Caenorhabditis elegans: one gene and its partner. The protein of the gene in region 1 purifies or fractionates together with the protein of each later gene. This does not show direct contact. Each region holds a gene or a part of one and is shown on either strand. Other genes may lie near its edges.

Evidence for each region.
Region 2: the proteins of C09G9.1 (region 1) and Y55F3AR.2 fractionate together in Caenorhabditis elegans (co-fractionation; one large-scale study listed by BioGRID). This does not show direct contact.

What each region holds. Positions count from the first base shown.
Region 1 is NC_003282.8:8,861,902-8,867,269, reverse strand, and holds C09G9.1 (Rhomboid domain-containing protein), read left to right. Parts: upstream 1-1,786; 5' UTR 1,787-1,948; intron 1,949-2,081; 5' UTR 2,082-2,223; coding exon 2,224-2,257; intron 2,258-2,832; coding exon 2,833-2,989; intron 2,990-3,035; coding exon 3,036-3,164; intron 3,165-3,220; coding exon 3,221-3,421; intron 3,422-3,772; coding exon 3,773-4,502; 3' UTR 4,503-4,665; downstream 4,666-5,368. Other genes in the region: alp-1 (PDZ and LIM domain protein Zasp), read right to left, coding at 5,240-5,314.
Region 2 is NC_003282.8:1,092,679-1,098,073, forward strand, and holds Y55F3AR.2 (Thioredoxin domain-containing protein), read left to right. Parts: upstream 1-1,862; 5' UTR 1,863-1,871; coding exon 1,872-1,966; intron 1,967-2,028; coding exon 2,029-2,284; intron 2,285-3,406; coding exon 3,407-3,820; 3' UTR 3,821-4,664; downstream 4,665-5,395. Other genes in the region: cct-8 (T-complex protein 1 subunit theta), read right to left, coding at 762-836, 889-1,025, 1,088-1,235; cox-18 (Cytochrome OXidase assembly protein), read left to right, coding at 4,784-4,864, 5,269-5,395.

The DNA of each region.
Region 1 (5,368 bases):
CTAGAAACGTTTCTCTCTTGGTTTTATTTTTTGGAATTTCTAAACAGGAAAAACTATGCCAAGTCTTTTGATTGTCTGTAGAAGACGAACACCAGTTATCACAGAAACTGGTTTTAGTTGTTCTGCGAAATTCGTATTGTCTAATAAATTAGTATCATATGTTTTTTCTTTCTGAATTCATGCTAGTTTTCGATTTAGAAAACATTTTGATTGTATATTTAACTGAAAACATTTTCTCGGCTCGTCACCAAATCCCCGAAATTTATGACATTTTTGCCCATCATAGTTTTCTACAGGCCTGCTCAATTGTTCCATGTCATCCGCTCATTTCTGTTGTGCAAAATGTTCCACCCCCATCGAAAACAATAGAGCTGACAAGTTTAAGTTATAGTCGATCAACTTTCTTCGTAAAAGTTCATTAGATATCCATTTCTAATTGGAATTGACAAAAAAAAACGTTGATTCTCAGGACAACGTCACAGTTTCCAATCTGATATCCTATATCTCTAATAGAAAAATTCCCGAAATGCGGGTCTTGGCAATTGTCCATGAAGGGCCCTTAAAAGATGCGATGCTGAACAATTCAATGAATTTTCTTGCCATGTCAGAAATTTTTTAGCAAACACATTTCTGTTGAACACAACTTTTCCTTTTTCTTGCTGAAATAATCCTATCAAAACGCTCTATCAGTTCTATAAAATGGCAAATGAGAATAAAACAAAAATGTGAACACATGACATTTACAGGCAATTCATATCAGAGATTTATCGGAGCCCATTCGCTCGTTCCGATGTATTGCTTTGTTTTTGTTTCTTCTCCATTGAATTCCATCAATTCCCGCGAAAAAAAACATCACCTGTCACCTTGGGCGTCGCGGGCGCCCATAGGGACATCCTCTTTTCCCTTCAATGTCACCTCTGCGTCTCATTTCTTTCATCATTCTTGGCTCGATTTCACTTGTGTGTGTTGTCCGTCTGTCTCCCGCCCGTCGTTTTCTGCTGCTTTTCGCGCCCTCTCTTTCACTCCCCCACTGTGGTCGGTTGTGTCACTGTCTTTCTTATCGACCTCTTGGTGTCTGTTCCATCATCTTTTGTTGGTCTTGTCATTGGGTTTTGTTGTTTTATGTCCTTTTTCATTTGACAAATTCTGCAGGAAACAAATTTCGCAAGTATTCGCTCTAATTGCTGTTCAGATTGTCTCTGTGGATTTCGATTCACTAATCCGGATTTTTGCTCCCTGGATTTGTTAGTTCTCGTTCCTACATGGAGAATTTGAAAGTCTGTCACTCCGAATTTTGAAAATTTAATCGCCAAATTGATTCCACTTATTAGATATTACCCAGACGCGAAAATTTTGGATTTTAGTGCCAAAAATTGTTATAGTTTGAAACTACAGTACTCTTTAAAGGCGCACACATATTTCTATGCAATACATAATTGTCGCATTGAGGCCAGATACCGTATTTTCGCCCATAAAAATTGCGACATTTCGAGTCTGGGTAATATACAAAACTGTTTTTGAAATTTTCAGCAACACACAGCATATTTAATTTTATTGAATAAACATTGAAACTGATGGAAACAATTTTCCGATGGTAATCCAATGATTCTTGTTCTCAATTCACTTGCTGTTTGACTTGTTGCTTATCTTTCATTTCGAAATGAGCATTAAGTGTTCCCCTCCAATAGATTCTTTTGATTACCTCATTTCTCTATATACTCTAATTTTATCTGTACAATTGTACTTCTTTTTCTTCTTTTTCTTGTTGTATACATGGTTGTTGCAGAGCACAAAGGGCAACCAGACTCCGCCCATTTCTCAACTCTCTAAGTACCTTGAGAGGTAGTTAGAGAAAACGAGAAAACTACGAACGAGATCAGTTTATCAGCCAATCTGTGTGTTTGTTTCGAACGAGAGCAACTACCCGCTAGTCGTGGAATTGTGAGCTGTGAGTTTTTTGTTTGAAAAAAGAAGTATAAATGTAATACTGGGATCATAACCATTTTTTTGTATTTTCACTACTTTTGGATTAAAAAAAAAATGTCATGTTTTGGTCATTTCCAATCAAAAGTTCATTTCAGAATAAATTGGATTCCTAATTCAATTAGCCTCTTCCTGTCCGACCATATCTACGCTCTTCCAATCCATTAACCCCCGCCGACTGTGTTCGAACAACAACTACGACGAAATCAAATTCTTCTCTTACTAAATACGCCTAAAATAATGGGAATTCTTGATCATCCATCATCATCATCCGGTCAGTGTGGAACTATCTTTGAAAAAGATATTTTAAAAACTATATAAACATAAAAGAAAAATCTGCCCATTATGGCAATGAAACGCTTCGTTGATTGATAAATTGATGAATGGAATGTTTTATGATTAGTGACAGTGTTATCGTTTATATAGCGCCTAAAATAAAACTTTATGAGGACCCTATGGACTTTGATCGTGGGATGCAGAAAAAACTAACATAACACAAGTAGTTTCTCTTATCAGATTTATTTATCACTTGGATCCGATAAAAGATATGTTAAGATCCGTGGGCGCCGATGGCGCTCATTTATCAAAAATGTTCGAGGAAGAAAATCTGCAGAAAAATCTATTTTCTAGTTGTGATCAGGGCTGAATCCAAAATATTTTCTTTGTTGACAAACCGAGAACGATTAAAAAAAAAATTTCCATACTTTAATAATTGCGAGTGTTTTTTTTATGGAAAACAAAACTTTAAAAAGCATAAAATTAATTCTTCACCAAAAACATGAAAAAACAACAAAAATGCGGAAAACTAAATAAAAAGAAGCTCAGACTCATAATCATCAATATTTTCAGGTATCCAATCGGGTGGTGGTACATTTGGAATTGACTGGGCAAAATGGTTTCCACCAGTCACATCTCGATCCTTCCTTTCTCACTATCTTCCTGCTTCTGGAGCACTTTCACACACTCTTTACACTGTGCATTTGTTCAGTCCAAATATCATTTCAAGGTAAGTGTCTACGAATCAATTCTAAATTAGTTGTTTGTTTTTTCAGTCTGTTTCCGACGGGAGATCTTGCCGTCAGCAACACGATTCTGTTCAATGCCAACGTGGGACTCGGATTCTACGTGTATTTCAGAAGACACCTTCACCGTGTGAATCCATGGGAGAGAGTTGAATTCAGGTAAATTAACTTTTTTTTGAGAAAAAGAAAGATTCCAACAAATAATGATTTTTCAGTGTTCTTTCATCTACGCTGTTCAATTTTGGAAGTCTGCTTGCCGCAGTGCTCATCAAAGCATTGATCCCAGCAAAATCGCCAACTTGGCTCAAATCTCTGACAGCTACCGTACTCAGTGGATACCTACTGTCTCGAGCTGCAAAATATATGGGAATTCTCGACCATCGATCAAGCAGAGGTTCCGTTTCGCCGGCTAGAAGGTAGGCATTGTGCTTATTGTGAATGTGTGATTTTGTGTGCAATTACTGTGTTGAGTCATTTAACTTGTAATCAAAAGTTATAGAATCATAGATTTGATTTGAAAATTCAATTGGTGAAAATTCTTACATCGTTCTCGTTGTTTCTAATGACAACCGAGCAAAGTGTCCAGAACGTTTTAAATTATTGAAAAAAAAACTATCTTACAAAATTATCAAATTTTGACAATAATTATAGCCAAACCTGGATTAAAATTACATGATTTATTCAAATGAGTGGATATATTTAGAATACCTTTGTTCATTTGTTTAACATTCCAATTTCATAGTACTCGTTATTTCTCTGATTTCTAGCGTGCTGTCAAGACGGCAAACCGCTTCCCGTTCTTCTCATGCTGCAGAAGTTACACCTCCACCAGCATCATATGCTCCAGAAACACCTCGTTCAGTGGCTTCAACGTCATATTATTCTCCATCAGAACTGCATTTGGACACTACATCATCTGTTCAATTGGAGACTCCACCACAAAGCCATGAATCTGGATCTTTCATGCCAATGACACCTTCTGCCACAGAACATTCATCGTCAGAATTTGGGCAAGATTTGGAAGATGCTGGAGATAGACATGAAAATTATCGGTACCTTCACTCATATGCATTGAATAATTTGAATCATAGTCGCCCGAAGAAGGAAACGATTTTAAGAAGGACTACGATGAATCAGAAAAATCAGTTGGCCACACCACAGAAGCAATTGAGACGATCTTCGGAAACAATGGCTCCCATGTGCTTCGTGACTCCTGAACCATCGTGGAAAGAGCTGGATGTTGGAGTTTATACACCACCGCCGTCAAGAATGGATTTTACACCACAAGCCTCGAAAAAATTGACGAAGTCTTCAAAATCTGTGAAAATAATTCAAAAGAAGTCCCGCCGAATCCCGAACGAGAAGGATGATTTCGATCGATTTTTAGACGCAGTTCAGTGGCACGCCCCTTTAATTCTTGTACCAGTTGCATTTGGATGTTGGATAACTGGCAGTGTGCCAATTTTGAGCCCAACTTTACGATTTATTTTCGCATAATTGTTTTTTATCGCATTTGAATCTTCGATTTTTGAGATTCAAAAGTTTCCTCCCCCGTGTTTCATTGGAAACTCCGCCCCTCAATCTAATATTTACCGGTAGTGCCTGTTTTCTAGTGACCAAAATTTTTTGTTTTTATGGAAAATAAACATTTTTTTTTCTTAAATTTCAATGATACAACGGACGAAATAAGAATTTTCACCAATAAATTTCAAAATGCTTGAAATGTTTTGTGTGCCTTTAGTTTGCGTTTTTCCCGTTTTCAGACGACTCAATTTTTAGCATTCAACCTTCGCCACAACCATCGAATGGACATGCTCAAATAAATGGAATTCAACTCTAAATACTTGCATTTCTCCTTATTTTGTTCTCGTTGCTCCGTATTTTTCAAACTTTCAGAATTTTTTTGTCGGCTTTCTCACAATGCTCATGATACTCTTTTCATGGTAGTTTTTGTCCCAGATTTTGGTCTCGTTTTTTTATTGTATTTTCCGGTATTTTCTATTATATACATACATATGTTCAATCATAAAAGTTTCATGAAAAAGTAACGTTTATTAGTGAGAATAGAAATAAAAATGGAAACATTGTCTCATATTAAATAACTGAACATTTTGGGAAATGAAAATGAAAAATTTTGTGACATACAAAATAGAAGGCAGAGCAGTTTTTGAAGGTTCAAAATATAAAAATCAAATTGATTAAATTGGAAATGAAGAATTATTAAAAAGGCAGAACTAAGCGTGAAGTCGGCAGAATGGTTGACCATTTTTGGCGAAGAAACTCTCGCCTTCCAGGTTGTGATTGCAACGCTGAAAATGTTGAATGGAATTAATTTCAGAAAATAATCTGAAATCTTATACAGC
Region 2 (5,395 bases), 7.8 Mb from region 1:
TTGGGTCAAGAATACCCTGAAATGGATCAATTAAGCATCAAAAACATTTTTTAAAAAATTGGAATTTTTACTTGAAAATGAGAAGAATCTCGAAAAAAAAGCTGAAAAACTGAATTTTCGCGATTATTTAAAAGGAAAATTAGATAATTTCAGCAGAAAAATAGCATTTTTTGCATAAAAATGATGTGAAAATGTATTTTCTCCGCGAGAAATGAGGAAAGTTAGCTGAAAATGGAGAAAATTTGGGATTTTTCAATAAAAAATCTTGAAAAAAAACGCGAAAAATCGAATAATTTGTAAACTTTTTAGTGAATTCGACATTTTTCCGCCGAAAAAAAAAAGCGAAATTTGAGGATTTTCGAGTGAAATGTAAGAAAAAAGCTTGAAAACTAGCTGAAAATTGCATTTTCGGCACTTTTTAGTTGAAACTTTTCGAAATGTTGGGGTTTCTAGCGAGAAATGCGCAAAAATCTCTGGAAATCGGATTTTTATATTCAAGATAGCAAAATTTGGTATCTTTTTTGCGGGAAATGCTTAAAAACAAGCAAAAACGACTTTTTGGCAGTGTTCTCTCGAAAAATCTATAATTTTCGCTGAGAAAAGCGTGAAAAATCGATTTTTCAGCGATTTTTCATGAACTTTGGGCACTTTTAAGTGACAAAATATATAAATTGGAGGATTTTTAGATTAAAAAACCCCATTTTTCAAGGAATTCGAGCAAATTTCCACAATTTTCGACAAAAATCAACGTTTTCCAGTACCATATGGATGAGATTCGCAGCGTGCTCCAACAAAGCGGCCGCCAAGATCACAACGGTGTTCGTGTTGTCTCCGATCTGTAATTTTTCCCATTTAAATTTAAATTTTCCAGTTTTTCTATTGAAAAACCTGCTTCTCCTGCATCTCGGTGGCCATAATGATGATACGGGCGGCCGGATGCTGAATTTCGAGCTCCTTGAGGATGGTGGCGGCGTCGTTGGTGACGAAGAGCTTCTCGATGTGGTTAATCACCATTTTGTTCATTCCTAAAGTGGGAAAATTGGGGAAAAATCATATATTTAATGTGAAATTCTGCAATTTTCCGTACCATTTGGTCCGTAGGCCGATCGAATCTGCGAAGCGAGCTCCGTACAGGCCTCGATATTCCTCTGAACAGCCTCGTCGGTTCCTTTGAAGTGCTGAGCTCCTTCCTTCATGAACCGGTTGTAACCGGACTTTGGGATCTTCATAGCCATGATTTACCTGCAAATTATTAGATTTTAGGGGCAAAATCGAAAAATTGTGTAAAAATTGAGTAAGAATGAGCAATTTTAGGTGAAGTTTTAGAGATTTTGGTCTAAATTTTAGGATTTTTAGATTGTTAGTTGTTTTTTCAGCTTGAAAACTTCAGAAAATAATATAAATACGGCAAAATTCACTTTGAGAAACTTCACGATGACAAAACACTTCAAAATGGGAAATCTAACCCAATTTCCGGTTTTCTGGCCCAATTTCCCACGTTTTTCACCGATTTTAAGCTTGAAAATCACGATTTTTGCTTGAAAAACCAAGAAATTCGGCGAAAAACTAAAGAAATTTCATGGAAAACACTGGAAGCGGCGAACAAAATTTGAAATTCGGAAAATTCGCGAGCATTGAAATTGCTGGCGGGTCCCGCCGCGATTTGCCGCCACGGGAGATGTGGGGTACGGTGGATTTTGATGTGTGTACACCATTTGCGCGTCAAGTTCGGTGTCATTGCGGACTTGACAACAATTTTTTTATTTTTTTTGTTGGATTTTTTAATTTTTAAAGTGGTTTTCAAGGTTTTTTTTTGAATTTTTTTGTGGAAAATAAATAAAACAATTAATTTTTCACTAATTTTTCAGAAAATGCCAGTAATAGTTGTCAATGGAGATTCGGATTTTGACCGCAAGTTCTCCGCGGGCAACGGGAAAGCGGTTTTTGTGGATTTTACAGCATCCTGGTAAGGCTTTTCAAGGGATTTTCAGTGTTTTAAGCATAAATATATCTTTCTATATTCTCCAGGTGCGGCCCATGCCAGTACATTGCGCCGATCTTCAGCGACTTGGCCAATCAATACAAAGGCTCCGTTTTTCTAAAAGTTGACGTGGATGAGTGCCGTGGAACTGCCGCCACGTACGGCGTCAACGCAATGCCCACATTTATCGCATTTGTGAACGGGCAGAAGAAGGCGACGATTCAAGGAGCCGATGAGAGTGGACTGAGGAGTATGGTGGCTAAATATGCGTCGACTAGTGCCGCATGGTCTGGAACTGGACAAGTTCGTAGAGAAGATCGGAGAAAAAACTGAATTTTTTACCTGAAAAATGACTTTTCTCGCTCAGAAAGGCTGAATTTTCCCGCAATTCTCTGACAATGCCCAATTTTTTAGACAGTTTCCGCTTAAAAATTCACAATTTACTCTCCACACCCCCTAATTTTAGCCCAAGAGTTGGCAATTTTCAAGATTTTGGTTCGAAAAATCGCAATTTTCACTCAAAAATTACCTATTTTATGTGGGTTTGCTCGAGAAAACTCAAAATTTTTCGCATTTTCGTCAAAATCAGCAGAAAAAATATTTCTCTTCAGATTTCGTATTTTTTCATGCAAAAATTGAATTTTACTACGACGATTTTTCATCCGAAAATTGAGTTTTAGCCCCAAATTTTCACTTTTTCACGAAAAAAGCTTAACACTTCCAGTTTAAAGACGAAAAATTCCGGAAAATTTGTGATTTTCTTGTGGAAAAGCCCAAATTTTCGACCTAAAACCGGATTTTGACACATTTTTATTCGCTGAAGTTGAAAATCCATTTTTCAGCGAAAAATCGAATTTTTCAAGAAAAAATTGAATTTTCACGCAAAAAATCGGCTATTTTGCTTGAAATTTCACTTAAAAACCCCATAATTTCCAAATTTTCGCACAAAAATTACAATTCACACCCCAAAAACCCTAATTTTAGCCAAAAAGTTGGCAATTTTCAAGATTTTGGCTCAGAAAATCATCAATTTCTGCCCAAAAATTCTCAATTTTCTTGTTTTTTGCTCGGAAAATCACATTTTTCAACCAAAAAGCTCAATTTTCAGCTTAATTTTCTCAAAAAAAAAAAAATCGTATTTTTCCACCAAATTGGTAATTTTCAAGATTTTGGCTCAGAAAATCACAATTGTCGCCTAAAAATGCAACACTTACGCCCAAAAATCTGAAAAAATTTCAATTTTCCGTGGGTTTGCTCGAAAAGCACGAGATTTTCCGGATTTTCGTCTGCAAAACTTTTTATATTTTTCGACGAAAAAAACACATTTTTACTAGTAAAAAAACCTGGAAAATTGAAAATTCTACATTAAAATGCTAAATTTTCACAAAAAAACTCAATTTTTCCCCTAAATATTTAAATTTTCAGCGTCTCTCCGGCTCCACGACCGGCTCAAGCTCTTCCACGTCATCATCAGCTCCACCAAGAGCCTCCGGAGCTGCTCCACCACCCGCGGGACCAAATCCTCTGGAGCCAGTTTTCCGCATAATTGAGACAATTAACGAGCGCCTACAGGGATTCGGGATTTCTGGAGTCAATTTCGCCGGTTTTCAGCTTCAACCATTCCATTTGTTGCTCGCCATCGCACTTCTCATCATTTTCGGGCCATTTGGGCTTCTGATCGCCCTTGCCGTCTGCTTTTTCACTCAACCACGTGGAGGAGGACCGGCTCCGGGAGCTCCGAGAGCTGGTGGATCGGGAGCTGGCGGAGCACCAAGACCACCACCACCAGCTGGACCAAGAGCTTTTGGAGGAAGTGGACAGCGACTTGGAGGAAATTAATTTTAAACATTGTGAATTTTCTTGAGGGTGGCGACATTATTTTGATATGAAAATTGATTGAAAATTTGAATTTAGACCTAAAATCCTGACATTTTCGCTGAAAATCATGAAGACTATGTTTTTTTCCGGAAACTTTTGTCGAAAAATTGACTTTTCTATGGAAAAAGCGATAAATTATCGGATTTAAAACCTAAAATTTGTCTAAAAATTGATTTTTTCTGTCAATAATTGTGAAATATTGCCTGAAAATGATTGAAAACCGAAATTTTCGTCAACATTACTGTCTTTTCCAACTCAAAAATTTATGATTTTCACGGCGAAAAATTGACTTTTCTTCATAAAAATCCGTTTTTCAGCTTGAAAGCGGTGTTATTTTGTGAAATTTCAACTGAAAAATTGACTTTTCTATGTGTAAATCAATTTTTTTTGTCTAAGAAAAAATCATTTCTTCAATTTTCGACACTTTTAAAGTGTTTTAAGTGTTAAAAATTGATAAAATTATATAAAAATCAATTTTTTTAAACTAAAATTTTAATTATTTCTGTGAAAAAATTCACTTTTTCTACATTTCTACGTCATATAAAAACTAGAAATTCCTCTTTTTTGTTTCAATTGATTTTCAACTTTTGTTTGACGATTTTCAGTATTTTTTGCTCAAATTTTCACCAAAACAGCTCCAAAACCTTTGAAATCTTGTCGTCACCCTAAAATACCCCCAAAATGTGATTATTTTACACTATTTTCCCCCTAAAATATGTACTTTTTGTCCTAAATATTCCCCATTTTTCCCCCAATTTTATTGCTGTATATTCTTAATTTAATTAATTAATTATTTTTTCCACATTTAACTTTTTTTTTGTAATTTTCCGTGTAAATAGGCTAAATTCCAGACATTTTCCTTACTTTTTTCCCCAGATTTTCCAGATTTTTCAAAAGTTCAAAAATAATTTTCAGCGAAAAAAAATGCTCAGCAGAATATGCGCTCCACGGCACATTTCTATCGCATCGACGTCATTTTTGAATCCTCAAAATCGGTGTGAAACGGTAACATTTGAGAGTTTTTGTCCAAAAAAGTTGAAAAAAACCAAAATTTTCATGATTTCTAAGCATAAAATACTAAATTGCAGGCAATTTTTCGATTTTTTTCGCCAAAAATTGGCTAATTTCTTCCAATTGCTCACAAAAATCAAAATTTGTCATAGAAAACCTGGAAAATTTTGATTCTTAATTTTTTTAAAAACATATTTTAACATGCAAACGAGGAAAAAAACAATTTTTCTCAATTTCTCAAAGAAAATGTGTGTTAATTTTGAAAAAAGCCCACATTTTTCATTAAAAAATCCAAAAAATATGAAATTTTGACCGTTTTTACTGCGGCGAAAATCATCAAAAATTGAAATTTTTAGGCTAAAAATCTCTAGTTTTTCCTAATTTCCCCCAATTTTCAGACAATTTCCCGTCGAAATATGAGTGCTCTACCACCGGCCATCGCCCCCGCATTTCAATATGCTTCAGATTGTTATATAGCACAATCAATTCAATTTGGAATGGAATCTCTTCATGGATTAGGGCTCT